2 linked regions of the Arabidopsis thaliana genome follow. The protein of the gene in region 2 interacts with the protein of the main gene of each other region in a pairwise test. Each region holds a gene or a part of one and is shown on either strand. Other genes may lie near its edges.

Region 1 (5,606 bases), on a different chromosome or scaffold from region 2:
CAAGAACACCAAGTAAGAACAAGTTTAGGACATTCAAAGCTAAGCTGAAAATTCAACGAATATAATTGTAACCAATATCATAAAGCTGAGGACAGAATCTGATGCTTAGTCAACCCTCGAGTCAACATAATAAAACCCCAATAAAAAAAACTCTGAATCGAACAAAGAAAACGAAAAAGATTCATTGCTGAGGAAATTAAGCGAACTCTACACAACTTGGAATCTGCAGAAACAACTTTCTAAAAACAGAGATATATGGAACGGGAACAAAGCTTAAGACTACAGAAGAATGATGAATTACCTTGCGGAAATGGCAGTTTCAGCTCTCTCTCTCTCTCTGTCTCTTTATCAGAGAGGACGACGAAGATTAGAACCGTGGAAGCGCGGTAAGACCAAATCATTCATCGTCAAAGATTTTTGTTGCTATTTATTATGAGCTCCATTAATCTCTTAAATAAAGTTTTATCGGTCTACTTAGTCAATTAATAACGATATTTTTGGTGCATACTTTCTCTTAATAAATGCGTTAGACTCGTGGCGGGTTTTGCGTCAAACCTTGTTAGGTAGGTTATGTATTTAAATATTTTAATTTTTGACTTTTTGATGTTTGTTTTTTTGGATTTTGGATTAGGAGAAGCTGCTCCTGTGTTTTTAATTTAATTTGGGGCAGTTAACGAAACTTACGTGATGTATTTAAATACCTCGACTCGACTCGACTCTCGTTTGCCAGGAAATTTTCATTATCAAATGATAAAACTAGCTTCCAGAATTTTTTTTAACTTAAATTTGCAATCAAAGCTTATCGTGGCATCAAAGAAATTGTGCATGAATTTCCCCTAAACGACTAAACATTGTTTGTGACCTTTAAACATCAAATTAAATGCGAGCGCGTTTCCATTAATCTTTGACCATTTCTTCCCCATTTTTGACCATTTTTTTTTTCTCTAAGAAATTCAAAACCAGAGTTCACGTTATTACTTTGAAAAACATCAAGATATCTAAATGTATAAATATTAAGATTTTTTTTTTAACTTATATACTTAAACCCAAAAAAAAAAAATCTATCTAAAAGAAAATGAAATAACGCACATCTGAAGAAGGAACTTCATGTTTACGTTTTATTTCTGCCAAAATTCTAAGAAACGCCGGAAGTTTTACACAAACGATACGATTCGGATTCTTCCAAAGCTATACTCTAAAAACCATAAAACACTATAATACAAATACATCAGGACATTGTTTTGTTACCATACTGAAACTCAACTTTCTATTGTTTGTTTCACTAAAAAGAGCAATCTCTCTTATTCTTATTCTTCAATGAAAAGGTCTCTTTGCTTTTCCTTTACTCACTCATCATCCCTCTGTGGTTCTTTATGTGAAGAAGCCACTAGTTGCCAAGGAGTGTACGTGAGTCCTCGTGAGATAAGGTAAAGTACAAACACAACATAAGCAATTGCGAATATGATCACTGGCACAAGCAAAATCAAATTCGTTGCAGCTCCTGAGAAGAAATCCACCATTAGATACCCATTAATGGCTATCACAAGAGCAGCTACTATCCATGAGATTGTTTGGACTAAAGGTTGAATTTTGAAACTGCCCATGATTTGCTCATTGGAGACCAAGCAAAGGAGTGGGATCACAGCGAAAGGGATCTGAACCGATTGAAGAACGTTTAGCCATTCGTTGAGCTCATCAAGCATAGAATCCGATGAATCAAAGACAAGCGCCACGATCATTGTTGGTATGATTGCACAGCTTCTTGTGATCAAGGCTCTAACCCATTTCTTCATCTTGAGATTCAAGAACCCTCCCATTATAAACTGTCCGGCGTACGTACCTGTGATGGTACTACTCTGACCAGCAGCTAAGACTCCAATCGCCCATATATACAGTATCGGGAAAAACCCACCCCCGTATTTGTCCTGTAAGTACTGTCCAGCATTTGCAAGACCGATGGTGTCCGCTATCTCTGTCCCGTAAAACGACTTGGCAAACACCGTGGTCACAAAGACGTTGATAATGAAAGAAACCGCAAGAGCACCAGTGGATTCAATGGAGTAGTACTTGAGAGCTTCTTTGACCCGGAATCTCTTTTTCGGATCGACTTCTCTGGATTGCACAAGTGCTGAATGCAAGAACACATTGTGAGGCATGATAATACATCCCACAATACCAACAGCTTGTTTGATAGTCCTGGAGCTAAGCTTAGGGACCAATGCTCCTGTTAAAAAACATGAACAGTTACCATTTTTGTACTCCCATCTCCACACACTAGACAAAAGAAAGGAATATTTAGAGTCTCACCAACAAGGAGCTCAGTTCCACTGGGTTTCGTCTGACCAAACATCCAAGCAAATGCAAGAGCCATTGTTGCAATCAAAATAGCAAACACAGCTTCTAGTTTCCTTATTCCATAATTCTCCAAAAATAGAAAGATGAAACTGCAATTAACCCATCACACACAATGTTAGGATCAAAACTAAAGATACCAAACAAACAATAATAAAGAACCCTAAATTCCAAAAATTAGGGTTTTTCCTAAATCAATAACCAAATTGAGAAAAAAAAAAACACTTACCAATCAAGAGCAGTGATAACAACACCAGCCCAAAGAGGAACCAATCCATTAGACAAGATCTTGATAGCTATAGCACTACCAATAACTTCCTGAATATCAGCTCCGATCAAAGCAATCTCCGCCATAATCCAAAGCACCATCCTTGCCCAAGTCGGATACTCTTCTCGACACAACTCCGCCAGATGTCTACCCGTCGCCACACCGAGACGGGCAGATAGAAGTTGAATCAGAAGCCCAATCGCCGTAGCCCACATCAATAGCCAAATCAAAGAGTAACCAGCGATGGCTCCAGCTTGAAGATCGCTCTCGAGATTACCTGGATCGAGGAAAGCGATACTCATCAGAAAACCAGGTCCAGTGAATAGCCAAAGCTTCTTCCATGAGAATTTAGGAGAGTTTCCGGGGTCATCGTCGTAATCAGCGTCTTCTTCTTCGTCGATTCCGACTATGAGAACTTTCTCGGTTTCTTCATAAGCTCTCTCCTCCGATGCTAATAACGGACGCTCTCTATCAGTCTCCGACATATTTCCCGGTAACCGCCGATTCTCAGAGTCGGAATTCAGAAATGCTAAATTCGAAATTGGTGGTGGTGCTGCGACTAAAGTGACGACTATCTTGAAATTTGCAACTGCTTTGTTGCTTTATATATATACTATAATCGACTTAGGGGTAGATAATACCGTTTTATCCAATACTATTACGCCACGTCAGAATAAGAAGTGGCAGTATATGTGAATGGTAAATAAGCGCAGGGATAGATTTGTCAATAAGTCGAGAGAACGTGTAACTTGGGGATTATCGAGTCTTCTTCTTGGGAGTCTCATTATCCTCACACAAAAGTATGGTGCTCAAGGAAATTACTAGTTTGGTCGACCATATTAATGGTGATGATTACAGATTAAAAAATGCGACGTGGTGAACAGAAACAAAAATAAATAAAGGGAATGGGTTAAGTAGAAGTAGAAACGTGTTTGGCCTGGGGGTTACACGAATCCGTCAGCTCTCGCCACGCGCCATCATCCACTTTCACTGTTTCACCCAACGGTTTACTACTACTACATAAAGACACCTTCATAGTTGATGTCCTCATATCTCAATTGCATTACATCACTTTCAATTCAAATCTAGCTTTGTGGTCTAAATTCAAAGATATGGATGTAGTAACCCTTGTAATCTTATGCAGTTTGTTTTCTTTCAATTCATTGTTACTCGTCAGTCAACCCAAAAGTTGCAATGATAGATAAAATAACAAAAATAATCTCAAGTACAGTTTCATCTTTCGAATTTAGTGTTATAACTTATAGATATGTGCAACAACAAAAAGAAACACCTTGGACTGAGAGAGTGTTATTAGGACTACAATTAAGAAAACTACATTCTGAAATCAAGAACGCAAACTGAGTTATCAGCGAAGCAAGCTGCGATTTTGTTACCTTCTTTGTTCCAACACACTTCGAATATCCCTCCATTTCCTGTGTATGTCTTTACGATTTTACCTTCTTTAATCGACCATATGTGTATCGATTTGTCCAAAGACCCACTCGCTATGTACTCCCCGTTTGGACTAAACGCCAGTGAGTAAACCGGTTCCCTTCATATCACAACAACGAAACTTATAACCAACGGTTTACAGCTAAACCCCGCAAAAGTACATTGAGGTTTAACTTTTACCTGTGTCCATTGAAACTACAGAGCATCTTCCCGAGTTCTGCATCCCATAGCTTTACTGTTGAGTCAAATGATGCACTGTTCCATTCAAACAACAACAACAACACAGAGATGATGAATGATATGTTACAATGACGCTTTGTTTTTAAAGTATTCAATGTTTAAAGCGTGTTGTAACCTTGCAAGAGTTAGCTGTTTGTTAGGATTGTTAGTTCCTGGTCCTGTAGGGCTCCATCTGATTGTATAAATTTCCTAAAGAGAAGATTAATATCCATCTTTAGAGGCTATTCAAAATCCAAAAATATATTTGAAATTTCCTTAAGACTTTTGAGGATTTATGGATTTACCTTAGTATGCTCTCGGAGGTCATGAACAAAGGTGCTTTGTTTTATATTCCATATCTGAAGAAAAAATATACATTTATAAAAAGAGGCAGAGAGAAACTTAAAGAAATGTAGAATATGCTCAAGTTAATTCAAAGAACCTTAGCAGTACTATCATCTGAGCATGAGGCCAATAATGAACCAGTAGGATCCCATTTCACACAGTTGACCTCACCCTGCCATTATGGAAGCCATGGGTTTGGTTAGTACCAGACATTTGTTACTTGCGACTGAGAAAACTAAACATACTGATACGATATGGGAGAAACTTGGATGACAGATACAAACCTGATGCCCAGTAAAGGTTTTGGCAGGCCTAGTTTCTCCAATCTTACATAAGTAGATCATGCTGTCCGTGGAACTCGTTGCAAAAGATACATTGTTGCGCCAATCAACATCAAGTGTTGGACCTATTTTCAAAAAAAATTCATTCCATGTCATATGCATGAGAAATTGATTCAAATTGATGTTTAATCAAAAAAGAAATAAAATTGCACCTGAATGAAATTCAAATTGTTGCTTCCACTCCTCTGCCTTTACGTCCCAAACAACAGCAGTTCTATCAACACTACCGGTTAGAAGATAGTCCCCCTTCTTGTTCCACTTAAGGGAAAAAATAGGTCCCTTGTGTTTGCTAAGAGTACTTATCAGTTCACCTGGAAATGTGAAAAAGAAAGACGTAATTTGTAATTTAGAAGCTGACTCTCCAATACATAACAGAAGGTGGAGTAAATGTTTTTGGCCAAGGATATGATACCCAATGCAGAGTTATAATGTTTTTTACTAGCTGATAGCTTTTATTGTTTCAATCTTGTGTCGTGTTACTATCAAAAGCCCACACAACTCGAACATCACAATTTGTAGCTCACGCTAGAAGGAAACATAGAGATATTAATTTAGGCATAAATAACTAAGCATATTCATTGATTCATAGTAAAAATAAGATTAATTTCAAGAAAATAGAGATGCTAGTG
Region 2 (5,855 bases):
TAACACAAAGTCACTGTAACAATTGCTAGTCATGATATCTGAGACACTATTTACAAGTTCATCGAACATATAACTTGCAAACATAAAAGATATAGTCTAACGAATTGAATTGTGTCCTGTTAATCAGTAAAACACACTTAAATCCTTATATAGTCTAAAGGTTCCAGCAAATTAGTGCTACTGATTACTTAAAGACTTATCTATTAAGCTTTGAAAAGGAAACATCATGAAAAAACAAAATCTGTAGAAAATCCAGTCAATGATGGAATTTTCCTTATCCAAACTTCAGATATCATTGAGATACTTTACAACAAGAAGTACAAAGTCCAGACATTTCTCTAACATGATTGATACAGAACAATTGTGATTGCAGTCTAAGAGAAATTGAATCCAATTGTAGTCAAATGTTCACAACAGAGGCAACAAAATTGCTAAGACGAGAGAATTCACAATTCAAAACCAAGATAATGCATTAGACATCTAATTGAACAAGCAATCTCATTTATTCCCAATGAAACCCTAATTTGGAATTTGAAGAACACGAAGATCTGATCATGTAGCAGAAGAAACAAACCAATTCAATCAAATCAACCAAAACACAAGAAATCGAAAAACTATAGACTAACCGGAATCTGGAATCGGCAAATTGGAGAAGGAATCGAATCCTAAGCATTAGCAGTTTTAGGGATAAGAGGAACAGCAGCGTTTCCTTGTAGTTTATTCTGTTTAGCCAAAGCTTCTTCTTCACGGATCTTCTTCATCGCAAGCATTCTCTCCATAACAAGCTCGTATTCACACTTCTCATAAACGTGACGCTCGTCTTCACATTTCCATGGAAGGTAAAACTCAGCCTGACGACATTTGTTGAGCGGAATCAAGAGATGAGCGCACATATCTCTAGATCCAAGTGCTATTTTAGCTGCAGACATCTCTTCTTGCGTTGCGATCATCTTCTTCGATGAACCTGGAACCTCCATTTTCGCGATCCCCAAACCTCACAACGATACTCTCTTCTTCTTCTTCGATTTTATTGACCCGGAACATTCTTCTTCTCCGGGTCATATTTGTGCCCGTTTGATATGGGCCAAAAGCCCATTTGATTTACTAAGCCTATGGACAATTTCTCTCAATTTAGTATTCGAACCCTGAATTGTTTATAATATTGCAAATGCGACTTAAACTTTTGAAATTGAAAGGAAAAGTACACAGCAATGTTGTTATTGATACAGAGACAGTTACAGTTGAAAGAAACAAACTTTTGTATGTAATGAAAGTAGATAGATAACAGCATTACTACGACGAAGCTTTCTTTTGCTTATACCTAGCAGCAGAGAAGAAGTAAACCGCCATGTTCACAAGGCTAAGACCAGCCAAGAGCCAGAAGAAGTAATCGAGATGACCTGAATTGAGATTATCCGAAATCCAACCTTCTTGCCCATTTCTTGTTGTAAAATAAGTCACGAGCGTGAGGATCAACGAGCTCAAGTAGTTACCAAGTGCATTGGTCAAAAGAGCCAAGGCACTGCACAAGCTTCTCATTGCATCTGGAGATTGGTCGTAGAAGAACTCGAGCTGACCGATGAAGTAGAATACTTCGGCTGCACCGAGAATGAAGTACTGTGGAATCTGCCACAAGACGGATATGGGAACTGGGGCTCCTGACTCGACTAATCCAAGATCGTTGGCCATATGGAGACGGATGATTTCGACGATAGCTGCAGCTGCCATACAGAGAACAGAGACAAACAGACCAATTCCCATTCTTTGTATCTCAGTGAATCCTTTGTCTACTCCTGTGAACTTTCTTGCTAAGGGAACGATGAACCGGTCGTAGAGCGGCACCCAGATGATGACGCTTGCTGTGTCGAATGTCCCGAGTGCTGCAGGAGGAAGCTGGAATGATCCAATTTTGCAGTTCATGGCTCGGCCTTGTTGAACAAACATTGTGGACATTTGTGCGTATACAGCTGAGAAAATGATACCAGAAGCCCAGATTGGGAACATTCGGATCAGAATCTTGAGTTCTTCGACTTGCGTAACCGTGCATAGTCTCCACGAGTTGGAATAATCTCCGGATTTCGATTCTTCTTCTGAGATAACAGCGGCTTTGTCAAGATACCTGCATCATACCAGAATAACTTGTTAAACCAAGTAAAGCTATACATTACTGGAAAGCAATGAAGCGGATATTTACTGGCAATCATCGGTATGCTCGATTTTTCTACTTCCAGCAATAGCAGAGTTCTTGTCTTGAGTTTCATACAGAAGTGTGGCGTCTTCAGGGACTTTGACAGACGATTTCCGGAACGAAGCAACCACGACTTGGGAAATCCGAGTTATAGGGCTTCCTCCAGGTTTCTGAAACCTATAAAGAGGTGTGCCAAAGAAGAAACTTGCAATGGCTAGTCCCATGAACACTGTTGGTATCCCAAACCCTAAACCCCACCCGCGATTCTCTTGAATCCAAACTAGAAGACTAGATGACACAAGTGCTCCAATATTGATGGAGAAGTAAAACCAGTTAAAGAACGAAGCTTTTCTAACTCGTTCCCGAGAGTCCGTGTCATCAAACTGATCGGCACCGAAGGATGAGACACACGGTTTGATACCTCCAGTTCCAAGAGCGATCAGGTAAAGCCCACCAAAGAACATCGCATACTGAGCTGGCGTTGCAGATGGACAAAAGTCACCAATACATTCCGCTGGCTTCAATGCCGGAACTGAAGCTGAAAGAGTTAACGCAGACATCCCCTAAACAAATACAAAAACCTATCAGTAATCAGGAGCAAACAAACCAAACCAAACATTACACAGAGAAGCAATGCTTACGATGAAATAAATCCCGGAGAAACAAGCGATGGTCCAGTAACGTCCCCAGTAAGCATCAGCCAGAACAGCTCCAATGAGAGGAGTGAGATAACAAGTCCCTTGCCATGTGGTAACGTTTGTAGCAGCAGAAACATTTCCTTGGTGAAGCTTAGTGGTGAGGTAAGTGATTAAATTCCCAGCAATACCATAGTAAGCTAGCCTCTCACAACATTCATTACCAAGAATAAAAGGACAAGCTTTCCAGTTTCCTGTTTTCTCCTTCAATGGTGGGTTTCCATTAAAGTCCACTGAACCATCTTCAGCATACAATTTCACTTCCTACTTAAAACAAATTCACAAAACATTTTTGATTAGCTAACTAAACTATAACTGTATCAAAGCTCGAAACTTTGATCTATATCTACTTGCAAAATTCAAACATTGGAATCATCAATTAGATAAAACAGTGATTGCCCAGAAAAGATCTCAATAAACCCAGAAAGAAAATGCATAAGATCAATCTAAAGTCAAGATTTTGGAATTGAGTAAAATCAAAATTCGCTAACCTAAGTGATTAATTGAAATTGAACAAACCTGTAAAATTAAACCTTCTTCGATGAGAGGTCTTGCTTCTTCTTCGATGGAACCCATCGTTTTCGTTTTTTGAGCTGAACCAATTTAGATTCCTTACGTTGAAGCTACCTATCTAACGATACTCTATTATTTATCGGAGACGTGACGGCTTTTTATTTTACTTTTCCCGGCGACTTATTGGAAAATAAAAATCAAAACTTTGATTATAATAAGAGAAGTAATTAACAAAACTCATCTTTTTACGAATTTTTTGTTATTATTATGACGTAAAGATAGAATTGTGGATCAACCTGTTACCTGTCCATGTCTCAAGTTGTTGATATCACTCTAATCAAGAATTTTTTTTTTACATATATGTGTTTCTAAAACAATACATCATCAATACGTTGTTGATATCAGTAAATCGTTTGGGGACTCAGATAACAAACAGTAATTATCAGCCAATCTCTCTATAAACCCTGAAAGAACAAGAATGCTCAATAATATGTAGCTCAAGTCAGCAAAATTAGGAGAAATGGAAATTAAAACTCGATAACCTAGATCATTAATTGTACGTTGAAACTATATAAACTCTCCTATTATTTTTTGGTAAATGTGACAAATTTTTTATATTCCTTTTCCCGGCGAAATTTGTTTTTATTGGACTATAGACATCGGCTTTGTTTACATATTTTTCTAAGGTCTGTGCTTAAACTTCAAATGGGAATTATATATATATATATATATTTTCTTTGTGATTCACATAGAAATTAATTTGTGTTTTTATCACAAAATCATTTCATAACTATATGTGGCCAACTTTGATTGATTCCACAACTTGATTCATAGGGTGCATAGAGAATGTGGTACGACCATCTATAGATTCATCATCCATCATCTCTTGTAAGAACAAAATCATTTGTTTCTATATCAAATAAGGTGTTATAAAAACTAAAAAAAAAAAGATTCTCCACAACTTGAGTCCATAGAGAGTGTGGTACTACGACCATCTATAGATTCATCATCCATCATCCCTTGTAAAAACAAACTCTTTTGTTTTTATATAAGATAAGGTGTTATAAAAACTAAAAAAAAAAAATATTCTCCACAACCCAAGAGAAAATTCGGTAAAACAAACAGCTTTGAGAAAATGAAAAAGAACACAAATGTATGGTGCAAAGAAGAAACTAGTCTCAAGAGAGAAAATATTGATTTTATCTAATACTCTACAAAAACCCAAAACTCTTGAAAACATAACATAATTTTCTCAAATGTATTGTGCAAATAAGAAACTAGTAGAAAATAAATGATAAGATTGATTAGCTATTGACTAAAGAAAACCTTTAATTCTATACACAAATTTTTTCGAGAAAATAATTTACCTTTCGTTTAACGAAAGATTAGAATTTTTTTTTACATTTAGCGATACTTCGCTGGGATAGAAGAAGTGATGCTAGTATCTTATCCCATCTCTTAAGTCCGTAATTTTTTATCCCCTCGAGTAGAAGAACAAGTAGAAGATTATCTTCCTGCGATTTCATTCGTCGTATATTAAAAAGGGTATATAATTTTCTCGAAAAGTATTTGAGAAATATAAAAATAAGGTGTAGATGAATTGAAAGAGAGATGATAGATGGTTTAGGGCAAACAAGTGAAGTAGAGTCTAGATTATATAGGTTTGTGTAAGTATTTGTTTTTTACGTGAGAAATTATTTTAATGTGGGCTTTAATATTATTAGTAAGTAATGTGTGGCTTTATTCTTTTGCTCATTTGGATGATTAAATTAGGCAAAATTTTCAAACTCATTTGACTAAACATAATTGGACAATTTGAATGGAGATGGATTAGTCAAAATAACAAATGACAAATATGCTCTAATTCTTCAAACGATCATTTTGTTTATAAAATTTTATATAGAAAAACTAGATAATCACAGAAAAAAAAACAAAACAATCTGCCTATACGATTACAAAGTGTTAAGAATTTATATGCAATGAGTCGGAATCCTAAACTAAGAAACATTTTTTATAATGATCGGTACAAGTATGTAACCGATCAGTTCTGGACATCTTATGTACTGACTCTTACGATTGTCAAGGTCGGTCGTGATCTTCAATCTTTTTTCATTTGATGCATTTTGCTGATTTGCTCTATTTTCCTAAACTCCCAGTTTTATCCAAACAAATCCAAAAACTTTACTTGACAAGAAAATTCAATAATATATACTACAAAGACATAAAAGTGTTAAAAATATATAATAATTTAACAAATTTGTTTTAGTTTTAGTTTTGTGAGTTTGTTAGTTTGTTAAACGGAGTTGTTAACAAATTAGTTGTTTTCTTGAATTAATCAATCTACTTGTACAATTGGTTTTATTAGTTAACTGAGTTAGTTTCTCTCTACTCTTTCGTTTACGTTCTCTCTTTACTTTAGCTTCAATATCCAAACAGTGATATTGATACCTTTGGAAACT

Evidence for each region. The genes of interacting proteins can lie anywhere in the genome.
Region 1: the proteins of PTR2 (region 2) and NRAMP4 interact in a protein complementation assay, tested with the Arabidopsis thaliana proteins (one large-scale study listed by BioGRID).

Annotation. Positions count from the first base shown.
Region 1 is NC_003076.8:26,859,321-26,864,926, reverse strand, and holds NRAMP4 (natural resistance associated macrophage protein 4), read right to left. Parts: upstream 3,662-5,606; 5' UTR 3,106-3,661; coding exon 2,582-3,105; intron 2,445-2,581; coding exon 2,308-2,444; intron 2,225-2,307; coding exon 1,347-2,224; 3' UTR 1,030-1,346; downstream 1-1,029. Other genes in the region: HOS15 (WD-40 repeat family protein), read right to left, coding at 3,953-4,172, 4,253-4,327, 4,428-4,501, 4,597-4,650, 4,734-4,808, 4,921-5,042, 5,130-5,288. UniProt on the Arabidopsis thaliana protein: Vacuolar metal transporter involved in intracellular metal homeostasis. Can transport iron (Fe), manganese (Mn) and cadmium (Cd). Regulates metal accumulation under Fe starvation.
Region 2 is NC_003071.7:485,146-491,000, reverse strand, and holds PTR2 (peptide transporter 2), read right to left. Parts: upstream 3,604-5,855; 5' UTR 3,460-3,603; coding exon 3,403-3,459; intron 3,148-3,402; coding exon 2,830-3,147; intron 2,752-2,829; coding exon 2,195-2,751; intron 2,120-2,194; coding exon 1,294-2,119; 3' UTR 1,060-1,293; downstream 1-1,059. Other genes in the region: AT2G02050 (NADH-ubiquinone oxidoreductase B18 subunit), read right to left, coding at 666-977. UniProt on the Arabidopsis thaliana protein: Peptide transporter. Mediates the transport of di- and tripeptides. High affinity, low capacity transporter. Can also transport histidine.